Caenorhabditis elegans: one gene and its partner. The protein of the gene in region 2 interacts with the protein of the main gene of each other region in a pairwise test. Each region holds a gene or a part of one and is shown on either strand. Other genes may lie near its edges.

Region 1 (7,599 bases), on a different chromosome or scaffold from region 2:
ATTTTGTCTCAGCTTTAAGAACTGATTGGCTCTTATCAACAAGTATTCTGTCGTCCCATTCTTTGACAAGAAGCCTGTGAGGAGCCTTTTTCACGCATTTCTTCTCAATGTAATTTCGCTCTTCGATTCTTCCAAAATAGTTTGATTTGTCGATTACAATGCATTTGTCTCCTTGGAATAAAACTCCTAAAATTTTTGGAATATTTTATAATAACAGATTACAAATTGCTCCTTGAAATTAAAATAAATAAATAAATGAGGGAATTAAAAACAATTTGATAGGCGTACCTGTACAATTCCCAAGAGCACATGAATTGAAACATGCCGTTGCTGATGCGGGTAGTTTTGCATCTCCGTTGACAAAAAATGCTACGGTATCCTTGCCTTGACATCCATTCACGGAATAAATGCAGGATAGTAGGGAAATGGAAATTAGCGGAAACGAAGAGAGAAAGTACGTTCGCAATATCATGGAAAAGATTTGAAATGAATCATAAGTTTGAAACCAGTGAAGGATAGTGTTCCGGAGAATGAAATGCCACGCCCACTTCTTTATTGTGACCCACAATCCAACATCTTGTTTTACTATACAAATATTAGCCTTTTATCTTTCAGGTAGTCATATTTACGACGACAACGAAGAATGAATTACATTCGACGAAGATTCGGCTCACTGATTTTTATGGAAAGATTTTGAAGTCTAAAATGCTTCTGATGTAAACAATATCACAGTTTCATGTTACAATTTCGAAAATAGCGGATACTTTCCATTTTATGCAAATGTGCAGTAGTGCAGGTCAGAACAATACAATATAAACTTTATTAAGATTATTAATTAACCGGTTTCTGTATATATGACCTATAAATATAACTCGAATCGTACATAATAATATGTTATCACTGATTATCATTCTCTATTCCGTTTTCTGATTCATTTTCTGTTTCAAACTCTGTAATACTCGTTCTTTTGCTTCAAAAGTTCCTAGTTTTTCATCTGATTCAAATATCTCCTGAGGGACAAATGGACAATCTGGCGGTGCATTAAATGTGAATGTTGTGACCTCTTCTTCTGATGGTTCAGATACTTTTTTGACTCTTCTTCTGATTACTTTCTTCTTTTCTTTTTCCGTTTCTTTCTCAATTTCTTCCTTTTCAATCACTTCGTCCTTATCCGAATTCGTCGGCAAACCTGCTCCACTTTTTCTTTTTTCCGCATTCCTGACTGCCGAGGCCAAGACGTTACGCTCTTCGGACACACTAATATTCTCGGGTGTTGGAGGTTTTTGTAATGCGAATACATCGTTCAAACTTTGCAACATCGCTCCACGACTGAATCCAATATTAGAGGTAACTCGAGATGCCAGTGGGATTCTTCCAAGAAGCTGTTCAAGGGATGGAAGAGGTGAAATGGAATCACTTGAAATTTCCATAGATAATAAAAGTGCTGAACTGCATCGATCTTCCTCGGTTAGTGTCCCATCAACTACTTCATCATATTGTTCTCCACTGAGCTCGAAGATTTCGTCGAGAAACTCCTCGGCGTCAAGTTCGGAAGCGGTTTCTTCTTTGAGAGCTGTTGTTCTGAAAAGTGGTGTTTTTTGTTGAAAAAAAAACCGAAATGAAAAAGAAAAACTGATGTTTTTCTGAAAGTTTGACATTTCACAACTAAATTTTCGAAAATACTCACAATCTTCTTATACATGGGCTCGTCAATGCAGTATCAGTTCCACCGGGACTTCTTTCTCTATTTGTATTCAACATCATCCTGTTCATCTCCTTTCTTTTAATTTTTCCATGCTTCAGAGTTTTCATCACTGCACTTTGACCAGCCAGCTCTTCTTTCTTCTTTGCTTCCTGATTTAATCTTCTATTCTCTTCTTCTTTTTCAATTGCCAGAATTCGGTTTTGACTGTTTGGCTCAATTCCTGTAATTTCCAAACAAATACTCTCCATTGGAGCTGGATCGGGTGGATGACAACGTCTGAAAAATACTTATTGATTTTAGTGAAAACGTATGAATATCCATACTTCGGATCAATCATTGCGTTCATATTTAAGATGCATGATACATAGGGTACCAACTGTTTGGCTGCTGTCAGAATCTGTCTAGCTGTTTCCCGTAGGTTCAAAATCTCCTCCACTTTTTCTCGATAAATGATTTGTTGTCGCCGTACTCGGTCCAATTGTTCCTGCCAAATCTCTTGCATCTCACTTTGCATTCCATCAAGTGCTGCCGAATGCATTCCAAGACCAGCCTCTATTTTTTTGCACCTACAAATTACATAAGCAATTGAAGTTTTTATTATTGCCACCTACGTTTTGACAAGTTTCTCAACATCCTCTTTTTCTATAATACACCTTCGAATGGTCAAATCTCGTTGAGTCTCAAGAACTTGTTGACTAGTCGAAGACAATGCAGTGACCAACTGTCGCAATGGGTCTAAAATGTTTAAACTCAGCAAAAAACAAAACAAAGATAAACTATCACTCACGTTCAACTTTGCCAAAGAGTTCTCCAAAAGCTCCTGCTAGATCAATTGTTGCCTGGAACTTGGATAGCATTGAAATTGCCTTATGAGATCCTGAGCCACGTTTGTACGAATTTGACGAACTTCCTTCTCGAGACACACTAATTGGACACCAAGCAGCAGACATTCCCAGGAATGGCTCAAGAGCTTTTGCCAAATCAGAACGAACTTCTATACTGTCAGGAGTGGAAGATACCGGAAGTTTGTCAATAGTTTTGTCGAGTAAAACACCAATTCTCTTTTGAAGTTGAGGACAAAGTTGAAGAACATCTAATTTGGATGCAGTTGTGCATAGAATTTGTGCAGAAAACAGACATAGACGAACAGGACCCTGAAGTTTTAAAATATTTTCCAGCTTATTGGACCAAATTGGACTAAACCGGACATCCAAAGTCATGGTTTTGGATTGTCTCTGTGTTTTTCGGTGTTTCGGTGGTTTTTCAAAATTTTTTAAAACTGAGTTTATTTTTTCTAGTCTTTTCAAGTAACTGAACACTAAATTTTTCGAAATCCACAGATAATGAAACGCAGAATAATAATATCAGGTTGTCCCATAAGTTTTTGTACTATTTTTTTTTTGAAAAAAATTTATTTCTCTCAAGCGACAAGTAGTACTATTCACACAAGTATTCACCATTAGTGTCCACCACTTGTTGCCATTTACTAGGTAACATCATGATGCCACGGGAGAAGAAATCCGGCGAACGCGATGAGAAGAAAGTGGAGAGTTCAGTTTTGAGATGCTCTTCGTCGTCGAATTGCTTGTCGCGCATGTAGTCACTGAGAGACAAGAACAAATGGTAGTCGGTTGGTGCAAGATCTGGAGAATATGGTGGATGCGGTAAAACAGTCCAACCAAGATCTTGCAGCTTTTGGAAAGTCTTCTTGGCGACATGAGGCCTAGCATTATCGTGAAGAAAATATAGTTTTTCATATTTTCCGTTGGTCTTTTCTGCAACTCGGTCCAATTGGGCACAATAGTAATCAGCAGTGATAGTTTTATTAGTTGGCAACAATTCCCAGTGCACGGGTCCTTGAACACCCCACCAGACACAGATCATAATCTTTTTTGGGTGAAGATCAGGCTTTGGCGTCGGTATTCCTTTCTCACCGATCGGAAGCCATTGACGTTTTCTGGAATGGTTAACATAGAGCACCCACTTCTCATCTCCAGTAACCAGATTGTTCAGCCAATCGAACTTTCGACGAAAAGTTAGAAGTTGAGTACAAACGTTGACCCGAGTGAGCTTCTGTGATGCCGAAAGTTCATGAGGCACCCAAATTCCAAGTTTTGAAGTAAAACCAAGGCGACCCAAGTGACGTGCAATTGTGCTATGACAACACTCAAGCTTCTCTTCCATTTCACGAAGACTAAGACGAGGCTCTTCCTCCACCAGCTTCACTAGGTCTTCTTCATTTAACTCTACCGGTCGCCCAGAACGTTCTATTTCTTCGAGACTGAAGTCGCCGTTCTTGAACTTTTGAAACCAACTCTTTGCTGTATTATAAGAGAGTGCTCCCTCACCCATCGCACCGCATATGTTTCGTTCCGCTTCCATTGCTGAATGACCAAGACGAAATTCATAAAGAAGAAGCAATCTAACGTCTCGACGTTCAAGTTTGATGATTGTCATCGTGGCAAAGTAGAAATGGATGAAATGAATCTTTTCTGAAAGGGGACGACCCGACCTTGACACGACCTACGATGAAAAAATTTTAAAACTTTCTAGAAGTTTTGGAAAAATATTTGAAAAAAAGTACAAAAACTTATGGGACAACCTGATATTTTAAAATTAAATAAATTAATAACTCACCATAACTGCTTCGATTTCTTTAATTTGTCTTTTACATTGTTCATCACTTTGCTCCTGTTGTTTCACTAATTCTTTTGCCAATGTCTCCCTTGTTGTCATTACAGTATCAATAATTTGCTGGCATAATTGATACAAAGAAGCTCTCGCATCGTCAAAATTCGATGCATTCTCATCAAGAACTCGTTGTCTTACATTCAGTTCTTCTTGTCGCTCTGACTGATAAAATCGAAGTTTTGCCGCGGATTGCTCGATTCGCTCCAGACACAACCTATGCCCCTGCTCAATCGAAATGAAGCTGTGCCTTTCTTCAAGAGGTCTTCCATTAAAACATTGAATACATACAAGTTTTCGAACATCCGAACAATATAGGATATACGGCTCATTGTGGTCCTTACACAGTGAGGAACTGTAGACTTTACTTCGTTCATCGGAACTTATGATTTTGTGTGAGGAGAACATTCTGGCTTGATGAGTCACATTTCGACACACTAGACACAAAGATTGTTGACAAGTTTCACAGTAGAACATGGGAAGTGAGATCTGAAAGTATTTAAAGTTAAAAGAACAAGTAACAACTAAAACAAACAGGAGAAACTTATTTGAAAATTAGGATTTACAAGTTTTAAATTTTCAACTCCAAAATAATATGATATGTAGACAAACAATTGTAAATACCCACCTGCTCACAATTTGCACATTCTTCCATTTCTTCCTTTGAAGCATCTAGTAAAAAGGCAGCCAACTTGTCTGGATGTGGTGTATGGCTTCTTGATGTAGATGGTATTGGAGAACATGATTTGCAACTAGGTGATCCAGTTGAACATTTCCTACATGTTGTATGCTGACAACTGAGAAGTATTGGCTCTTCGAATTCCTTAATCGAAGTTACTTTTAGACATCAAGTAATCATAATTAAACTTACATTTTTACAAATCGTACATTGAAGAGGATTCTCCTCCATTTTATAATTAACTGAGGAGCACACAAAATAAAAAAAGAAAAAGAAACAGCAAGGTGAAATTACACTCAAAAAGATGGGGAAGTCGGCAAGGGAAAGTAGACTATAATTGAGAGAGTGCAGAGATTCAGAGACCACCCCACGGGAAGTTGCAGGCACCCGAGCACAAATCGATTGAAGCTTTAGCGACAATTGTTATATTTACGTTAGAACGAACGGAAACTTGTAACCACACTGTTCTTTGTTTACTTATCACTAAAGTTGGCAGTAGGTTTCTAACAAGTTGGTTTTTTGTGTTCATAGTTCTTTCGGGAAGGCTACAAGAGAAGTGAGAACTTTGATATTTAAAAAATTGTGATTACTTTCATTCGAGGGATAATTTTCTCATTTCAGAAAACTTGAAGCCAATGTTTTTTACAAGTTAGTAAGTTGTATTCCAAGTAACATTTTTATTAGATCGATCCTTAAAGTCTATTGAGATCAAGTATTATCATATTTTCAAAGAACCAGAATGAAAATATTCATATATGTATATAGTCATATGAACTTTATTTTTAAAAAAAAGTAGAGCATGCAAAAATAGTAGGAAACGTTATACTTAAAATATGATTGTTTATTTGATTGCCATCTGTGTTCCACTAGTACTGTACACACTTATGCCATTTGGACCAACACGAACTCTCCGGAAGAAATCTGAAATTTGTGATAATTCTCACGATAAGAATACTTATTAAACTTACTAGCTATAGTCTTTCTGAAGTCTTTTATACAATAAATTGCAATTAATGGTTCAATTGCAGGATACAAAGACATACTGGCACTGGGATAATTCACATACGCACCTAATCCCATATCAAAAAATGGGAGAACAATGAAAAGACCCACTGGGATGTACATTGTTATAAATGGGACAATAGTCTTAACATTTCAATATTTAAAATATATGTTATCATCTAGAAAACATACCTGGATTGATAACATTATATAAAGCTGCCTGTTCAATTCCAGAGTTCTTTTACTCATATGACCTTTTTCTTTTTGCATTTTTAGATAAATTCGTAACGCGAAGAAGCAAATTAAAGTTGTTAATGATCCCTAAATGTTTGTTACTTGATATTTCTATTTATACAAAGGCACAGAGCAGATGTATGAGTTGTGTTCTGGCAAAACTGGTATGGCAACTTACAATAATTCCAGTACAGACTAGTGCAGAGGCTGCATCTTTAAATCTCCAAACTTTCTCTCTATTTGGTCCATTGTTCCAGTACAACGGAGCAATAAAAGATATCATCATTGAATCTGATTCATACATATTTTTAAAATCATCTCTGAAATTAGGTGTCAGAACTGATTCATCACGTCTAGAGGCCACGTTTTCAAAAAGCTACTGAACTACTCATGGACGCTGAAATTATCACTAACTTCAAATAGATTCGTTTTTCCATAGTCGCAGACATTCCCCAAACGACAAGTTCAAACCAGAGAATGTATGTAATTACGCATGGAATGAAGATCAAAAATATTTTATATCCATCGAAATAAGATAACAGACTTTGTCTGAAAAGAGTTTCAATCAGAAATTTGTTGAATCTATTCAAGAAAACCTGCACAATGCAATGTATCTGTAGAAAAACTGTGCCGCAAATACAGAAATCAAAAATCCAAAGGTACCACAATGAAGACCTGTAAATTGTTGTTTTCACTTCAATAACCAAAAAAAGAGGGAAATTCATTTTTTGTTTAAGAGTTCTATGAAAAGTAAAATGTTTAAAACTAACAAGCAACTACATTTCCAATGCCTTGAGAAAAAACGTTATTATCAAGAAACACGACAAACATTGGACCTTTCATGTATAGTACCTGAAAGACGATTATTTGAAGTAACATTCTCAAAATTTCAATTTCAAGTTCCAATTTTCTATTGTATCGTACCGGCTGTGCAATTATCTCTACTGCAGAGTACAACATCGAACAAAATGTGAATACAAACATAACATGACGGTAACTACCAAACAGTTTTCCAGCTCTTTTCACAATTAATATTGCCAGAACAGTATTGAAGATTTGTGCTCCGAAAAAGCCGGCGTAGTGGAAAATATGTAGACCGATCATTGTTGTAAGTGAACTGGTGGAGAATGAAGTCTGAAGTTATTTCTGAAAGGATGACGTCTGAAAAAGACTTCTTGAAAAGTGATCTTATGTACTTTACTAAATCACCATATGGTGAGTAAATTACCAATTGATGTTTCAATGTTTCAATTTAAAAGTTCATAATAATGATTTTAAAAAACGGCAATGA
Region 2 (5,859 bases):
TGGCTCGATCTCCAAATTTTTCCTTTCTCTTCTTCCGCCAAGTATCCAAATTTTCTTGCCACGGTTCACAGTCGTCGAACTTTAGCTTAAAAATGTTTAAATTAGGATGTGGCTCTTCGGTAACTCACGTACCGTCTGTTTCTGTCCTTGTAACATTTTTTCTCGTTGAGCTTTCTGTTGTTGAGCCATTTGTAGTGTGCTTTTCGCAGATTCAGCCATTTCGTCGCCGCCTTTGTTGACGGCGACGAATTGGAAAGGATCCGAGGATTTCTGTCCCGGTCCTCGTAGCATTTTTGCTCCGGGTCTGCAAATTTCATTTACTAAGAAAATATAATTTTATGAAGCCAAAAAGTTTCGCTCCCGGGTGGGCTCGAACCACCAACCTTTCGGTTAACAGCCGAACGCGCTGCCTATTGCGCCACGGAAGCACGGAAAGTTCAGGTCAAAGAGGCCTATATTCGCTGTAGTTAGAATAGAGACGCAGATAGGGTATGTGCAATAGTTAATACACTGATCGAGTTTACAATGAGAGAGACCGCTATTAACTTCAAACCTAAACGCTAGATTATTTTTTAGAAATCGAATAAATTTTAAGAAAAATGAAAGGAAAAGCTTCTGACATGGGACATCTGATGTGAAGGCGTCAGAAGTCAAAACACAGAAAAAAGCGAAAAACAAGTGTCTCTTTTGGTAATTGATGTTTCTTTCCAGCTTTCGCGTCCCTTTTGCCTTACCAATAGCTAATTTCAGAGACCAGAAACCTTTTGCGGTGAAGAAAATCTGGGTTTCAAGAGGAATATAAAGTTATCAGAGAGAATAGAATTCGGGATAACTGTGAGCTTATTAAAAAAAAACATAGTACATTTTGGAAAACTATCGTAAAGTTCAATAGGTAATTCAGTCTTAAAAATAGTTTCGCGATCTATAGATAGCGTCTCAGGGAGAAGTGTTCAGAGAGTTGAGAGCAGCTACTACCGGAACCCGGTAAAACTTATTTTAAGACACATGGTAATTTTCGCAGTATCCGATATCTACTGGGTTATGTTATTTTTCATCGAAAACACAGTTAAATTAATCTAGTAGAGGAACCTGGGAACTGTTGGGTTGCTGTGAAACATCATTTCCACATTGAGACTGAAATATACAGAAAAAGTAGAAACTTGTAGAAACTTGCTCAAAGAGTTCATAAGACTAAAAAAGGGTTGATCAACAAAAAGAAAAACCGTAACAGTGCCCTTGACTCAAAAATCATGCCGAATATCTTCTCTCACTCTCATATATCCGGTCATTTATTGGCGGCTCACATGCTCTCATTCATTTGTTTATTTTCTCTCCATTGGCGAAACGAGACACAGTTAGAGATGGTCACTACGTTCTTTTTCCGAGACATAAGAAAATAATGAAGAGACTGAGAATATGCTACAATATCAAGAGAGTGCGTAATCGCCAATTTTCGCGCTTGCATGGTAAGTACAGAGAGCTTTGAGTACCCTCCTTTTTTGCTCCGACGCTTGGTTTTTTGGAAAGGCTAACGGTTTACACGTACCGGCAAACGCTCAAAGACAAAAGGAATGAAAAATGAACAGTCTAACTAGAACATTTTCTAGTGAATATATAAGAAAAGATTTTTTGTAAAACTGCAAAGGAAGTCCACGCCCAAATGAACTGGTCTAGAATATATGACTATTGTTTTTGTTTTAATAAAAATAAAATCCGTTTCAAAGAATCTTGATACTGTTTTTTCGAATAAAAACTTAAATTATAAATGTCTGAACATGATCCAAAATATATTTTTAACGTTTCAATGTAGTAGGCCCAGCCCAGCCACGGAGAAATGTCCTATTTTGCCTATATGCGTTGTTACTGCAAAGCTTTTGTTGAATTTCTTAATTGAAATGGGTAGTTAACGCTACAATACAGAAATTTTGAGGAATATGCTATGGTTAATGAAAAAGAATCTCAAAGAGAATGAGAAAAAAACAGACTAAGAAACCTGATTTTCAGAATATTAAAACCTATTTGCATACTTTGCCGCTTTCTTATATTACATCTACCCTTAGAACTTTTATAATGACATTGAAAATTCAAATAATTCACCTAATTAATCTTGTCACTCATAATTAAATGAACGATTTACATGATCATAAATGACAAAAAAATTATTGTGGTGAAAGTAAAACTCACCCAAATTCGTCTTCAGGATAATCAGATCCAAGATTTGGTGGATACTTGGCCACCTGAAAAATGTATTGAAATTATTCTGAATTTATGAAAAATAAATACAAAAAGTAAGTAGAAACGACAAGGTTATTGTGGCAGACATAAGTTAGGTAAACACGATAAAGTACATAATGAAGTTAATCACTTAAAATATCATTTTCGAGTATTAGAGGTGAAAGTGGGCGATTAATAACGTATTTTTTACAACTTAAAAGATAAAACTTTAAAACATGTTTTACGAGTATTATGTTATCATCATCTTGATTAAAAAATGATGATAAACTTTAAAATAACTAAATGCTTAACTGAAAAAGGAACGTAGTTTGATTATAAACGCAACTTTTGATTCAAAAATTTCAACTTTTTTATTCATTTCTCTTCCATCCTACTCATTTCAGAAATGAATCATATCACAGAAAAGGAACACTTTAACATATCATTTATGATAAAAATCGATCATAATACCAATCAAACACAAAAAAGTCTCCTGTTATCAGTTAGTTTTTGTGTGAAGACTGTGTGTTAAAAGGGGTGAGTATGTGAGCCCTCTTGAAATGTAAATATTAATATGCCCAACATTCTTGGGCATTTTTGAGGTTTTGGTTTGCGTGCAAGAAAACTAGGATGATATGGGACATTGGACAGTTTTGATTCTTCCTTTTTATAATTTCTAAATTTTTATTTTTTTTCAGTGTGCCAAATAAAATATGTTAATTTCCAAAATAATTTTCCAATAACCCCTTCTCAATCTAACAGTGAGTTTTAATTAACTTTTCTGTACTAAAAAATGTTTTCAGAGCTTTAACTGTTTTTTACAAACTTTTGCCCAGCAAAAATGCAAAGCTAGAATAACTAGAAAACACAGGAATACGTTGAACTATTTTGAAAATGAATTAGCCACAAAATGTTAATAAATATACAATGAAAAATTCAAACACTTTGAAAGTACCTTCACTGCGTAATCATTCTCCATCATCTTTACGACTTTCTGCAAATAATTGAAATGAAACAATAAAAAAGTCAAGTTACAAGAAGAACATCAAAAAAAGTAATCAATGTTTTTTCCAGAGAATCAAAATAGATTATCTGAAATTCAAATAGAACACAAACACGAGTAACAAAAATAGAAAAAGACCTCTGAGCAAACAGAAATAGCGTTTAACTTGTGGGAAATTTGATGACAGTTTACATTTCTTCAGAGAGGAAGAAAAATAGAAATCGACCACACATTTACAGAAAATTGACACCAAGACTTGAGATTTTGAGAAGAACGGAACCTATTACAATGGTCCATAACTTTGTTATCCAAATGTTCAATTAATAAAAAAGGTACCGAGAATTAAAACAAACTGTAAAAAAGTATGTTCAAAAGCGGTAAAGAAATCCACATCCAAAAATTCTCAAATTAATGTCACTACGGAAAGCATAAATTAAGGAAAATAAAATTCAATAAAATCGGTTTTGAAAATTTCGGGAGAAACCAGAATTGAAATGAATTTGACACGATAATTTGATAATCAGAGAACGAGAGTGAATCTGAAGAGAAAGTGGTCAGATCCTTTCGGAACAATATTCAAATTTATTTCTTCTTATTTCTGCGTATCCACAAGAAAAGCATAAAATTAATGTCTGCGTCTCTTCGTCTCGTACGCTCTATCATAAAATATACACAAAAGTCGGTAATATTGAAGAGATGAAAAGGAATGTCGGTCAAAAGATATTATGGATCAGTTATCAGATGGTGGTGATTTGGAGATAGTCTAAAAGCGGCAGAAGCCAGGGAAATTGAAACTTGGACAGGGAAATAAGGGCAAAGAATATAAATCTGAAGTTCGGAGAAGCTTTTAAAGGGAAATAGAAGACATTGAGAATAAAAAAAACCGAATATAATTATATAACAACAGTATCACAGCGCCATAAGAAGCCATGAATTCTGAAATAATGAAAAACAAGCAGTTCATCTCCAAAAATAGTTGATTCTCATAATATTTCCATCTTAAAAATTCCTCTCTAAAAAGAAACAACATGGTAGAATGTAGGGTAGACCCATTAATGGATTACATTTCTGCAGTGGCCCAATAAATTCATGTTTTTAAATTATTTTAATATGGTAGATTGACTTCAATTTGGTAGGCAAGGATGGACATTTGTGGAATGAAAACAAAGTTTTTTAGTTTTAAGAGAAGTATACTGAAACGTGTCTAGATCTGAACTTGTTAAAATAGCGCCTGATTTGATTGATGTTTTTGAAGTATTGAACCCAACGAACAATTGTTTTATGATTAGAACTCCTGGAACATATTCTCCAATGACCTATCAGAACGTACGATTACTGTAGGGAATAGCTTTTTTTTTCACTTTGACATGTAGATATGTAAATGAGAAAAATGAACGCAAAAGAATAGGAAAAAGCCAAAAATGCAGTAATATTACACGAAGGATCAGAAGAAGAAACAAGGTGGCGGAACGGTGTCGTCGTCAGACGTCTAATCCTTCATTCTTTTTCAACTGTGGTTTCTTCATAACGACACGCATATGTCTTCGTTCCGACAACTAGGTATCCATCCTTCTTACTCTTTTCCTTTTTCTTTTTCTTCTCCTCAAGAAAACACATTATGCAAATGGCGACCAGGTCGGTGTTGATTGCCCGAAACAGGTGTCCTGCTGTGTCCTGGGAGAAGGTGAAGAAGACACTCCTGCATCCACAAGAATCCATAATACAGTCATTTGCATTGGCGGAATAACGATCTGCCAATTATTTCTGCGCCACGGAAATCTCCCGGACCATGGTCAAATATTGAGGAACAGCTGTTTCACGGCATTTAGACATCTAATGGAAGACATCCGTCATCGAGAGTCATATGTGCCTTAGGCAATTTTGGAGCCAAAATCCCTCATAAGGCTTGGGGAGTGAGCCTATGGATTTGCCTAGAAGACTGAGTGTCTAAAAAATCCGTTTCTTACCAGGTAAGCTAATAAATGTTATGTGATGGTTTAATGAATAGGTTTTGGTTTAGTAAAGTGATATGAAAAATAATCGTCAGTAGCCGTTCCTTGACACTGGTTGATATTTCTTTTTTTTTAAAAACGAGAGAAAAACCTTCGGCTGAGGCCAAAGAGAGGTCTGGCTAAGGGAAATCATGCTTACCCTCTCTAAATTTTCATAAATATTTGCCAGAAAAGATTACCAAAGTCTAAATACAGTTTGGTCAGGATTTGCTCATTGCTTGTGGAAGTCACGTTAAACGGTTTAAATTTCAGACGAAGTTAGCAGTCAATGTGCCAAGTAAGATTCAATGATGATGTCTCTGAAAGTCAACTCCAGATAAAATGAGATAACTTTGCAAAATTTTGCAAAAAGTCGACATCAGACATAAACATCATTCCAACCTAAAAATAAGACTTTTATGCCGCACTGCTCCACATTTCCTCATTCATAATTCATCATGGAGAATGCTATATTGAATCAACTTGCACTCTATTAGTAATTTTCTAACCGTCTGAATATTATCTGGAACTTCAAAAAATAAATTTAGTCGTAGTGTGTTTTTGTCAATATTCCAGCTGAAAAACACTAATGCAAAAATATTTATTTCTGCATCAAAATCGCTGAGATAATTAAATAGTTTTCACCGGGAA

Evidence for each region. The genes of interacting proteins can lie anywhere in the genome.
Region 1: the proteins of lim-8 (region 2) and F47G9.4 interact in a two-hybrid assay, tested with the Caenorhabditis elegans proteins (one large-scale study listed by BioGRID).

Annotation. Positions count from the first base shown.
Region 1 is NC_003283.11:11,316,409-11,324,007, forward strand, and holds F47G9.4 (putative RING finger protein 207 homolog), read right to left. Parts: upstream 5,409-7,599; 5' UTR 5,304-5,408; coding exon 5,265-5,303; intron 5,217-5,264; coding exon 5,022-5,216; intron 4,883-5,021; coding exon 4,343-4,882; intron 2,860-4,342; coding exon 2,493-2,859; intron 2,441-2,492; coding exon 2,317-2,440; intron 2,272-2,316; coding exon 2,029-2,271; intron 1,982-2,028; coding exon 1,688-1,981; intron 1,582-1,687; coding exon 915-1,581; 3' UTR 805-914; downstream 1-804. Other genes in the region: cutl-18 (CUTiclin-Like), read right to left, coding at 1-186, 289-472; str-141 (Serpentine receptor class r-10), read right to left, coding at 5,914-5,993, 6,041-6,218, 6,267-6,395, 6,487-6,628, 6,723-6,857, 6,905-6,983, 7,079-7,160, 7,233-7,412.
Region 2 is NC_003281.10:6,800,137-6,805,995, reverse strand, and holds the start of lim-8 (PDZ domain-containing protein), read right to left. Parts: upstream 3,209-5,859; 5' UTR 3,194-3,208; coding exon 3,170-3,193; intron 2,238-3,169; coding exon 2,185-2,237; intron 768-2,184; exon of another isoform or gene 563-767; intron 429-562; exon of another isoform or gene 356-428; intron 335-355; exon of another isoform or gene 305-334; coding exon 133-304; intron 86-132; coding exon 1-85.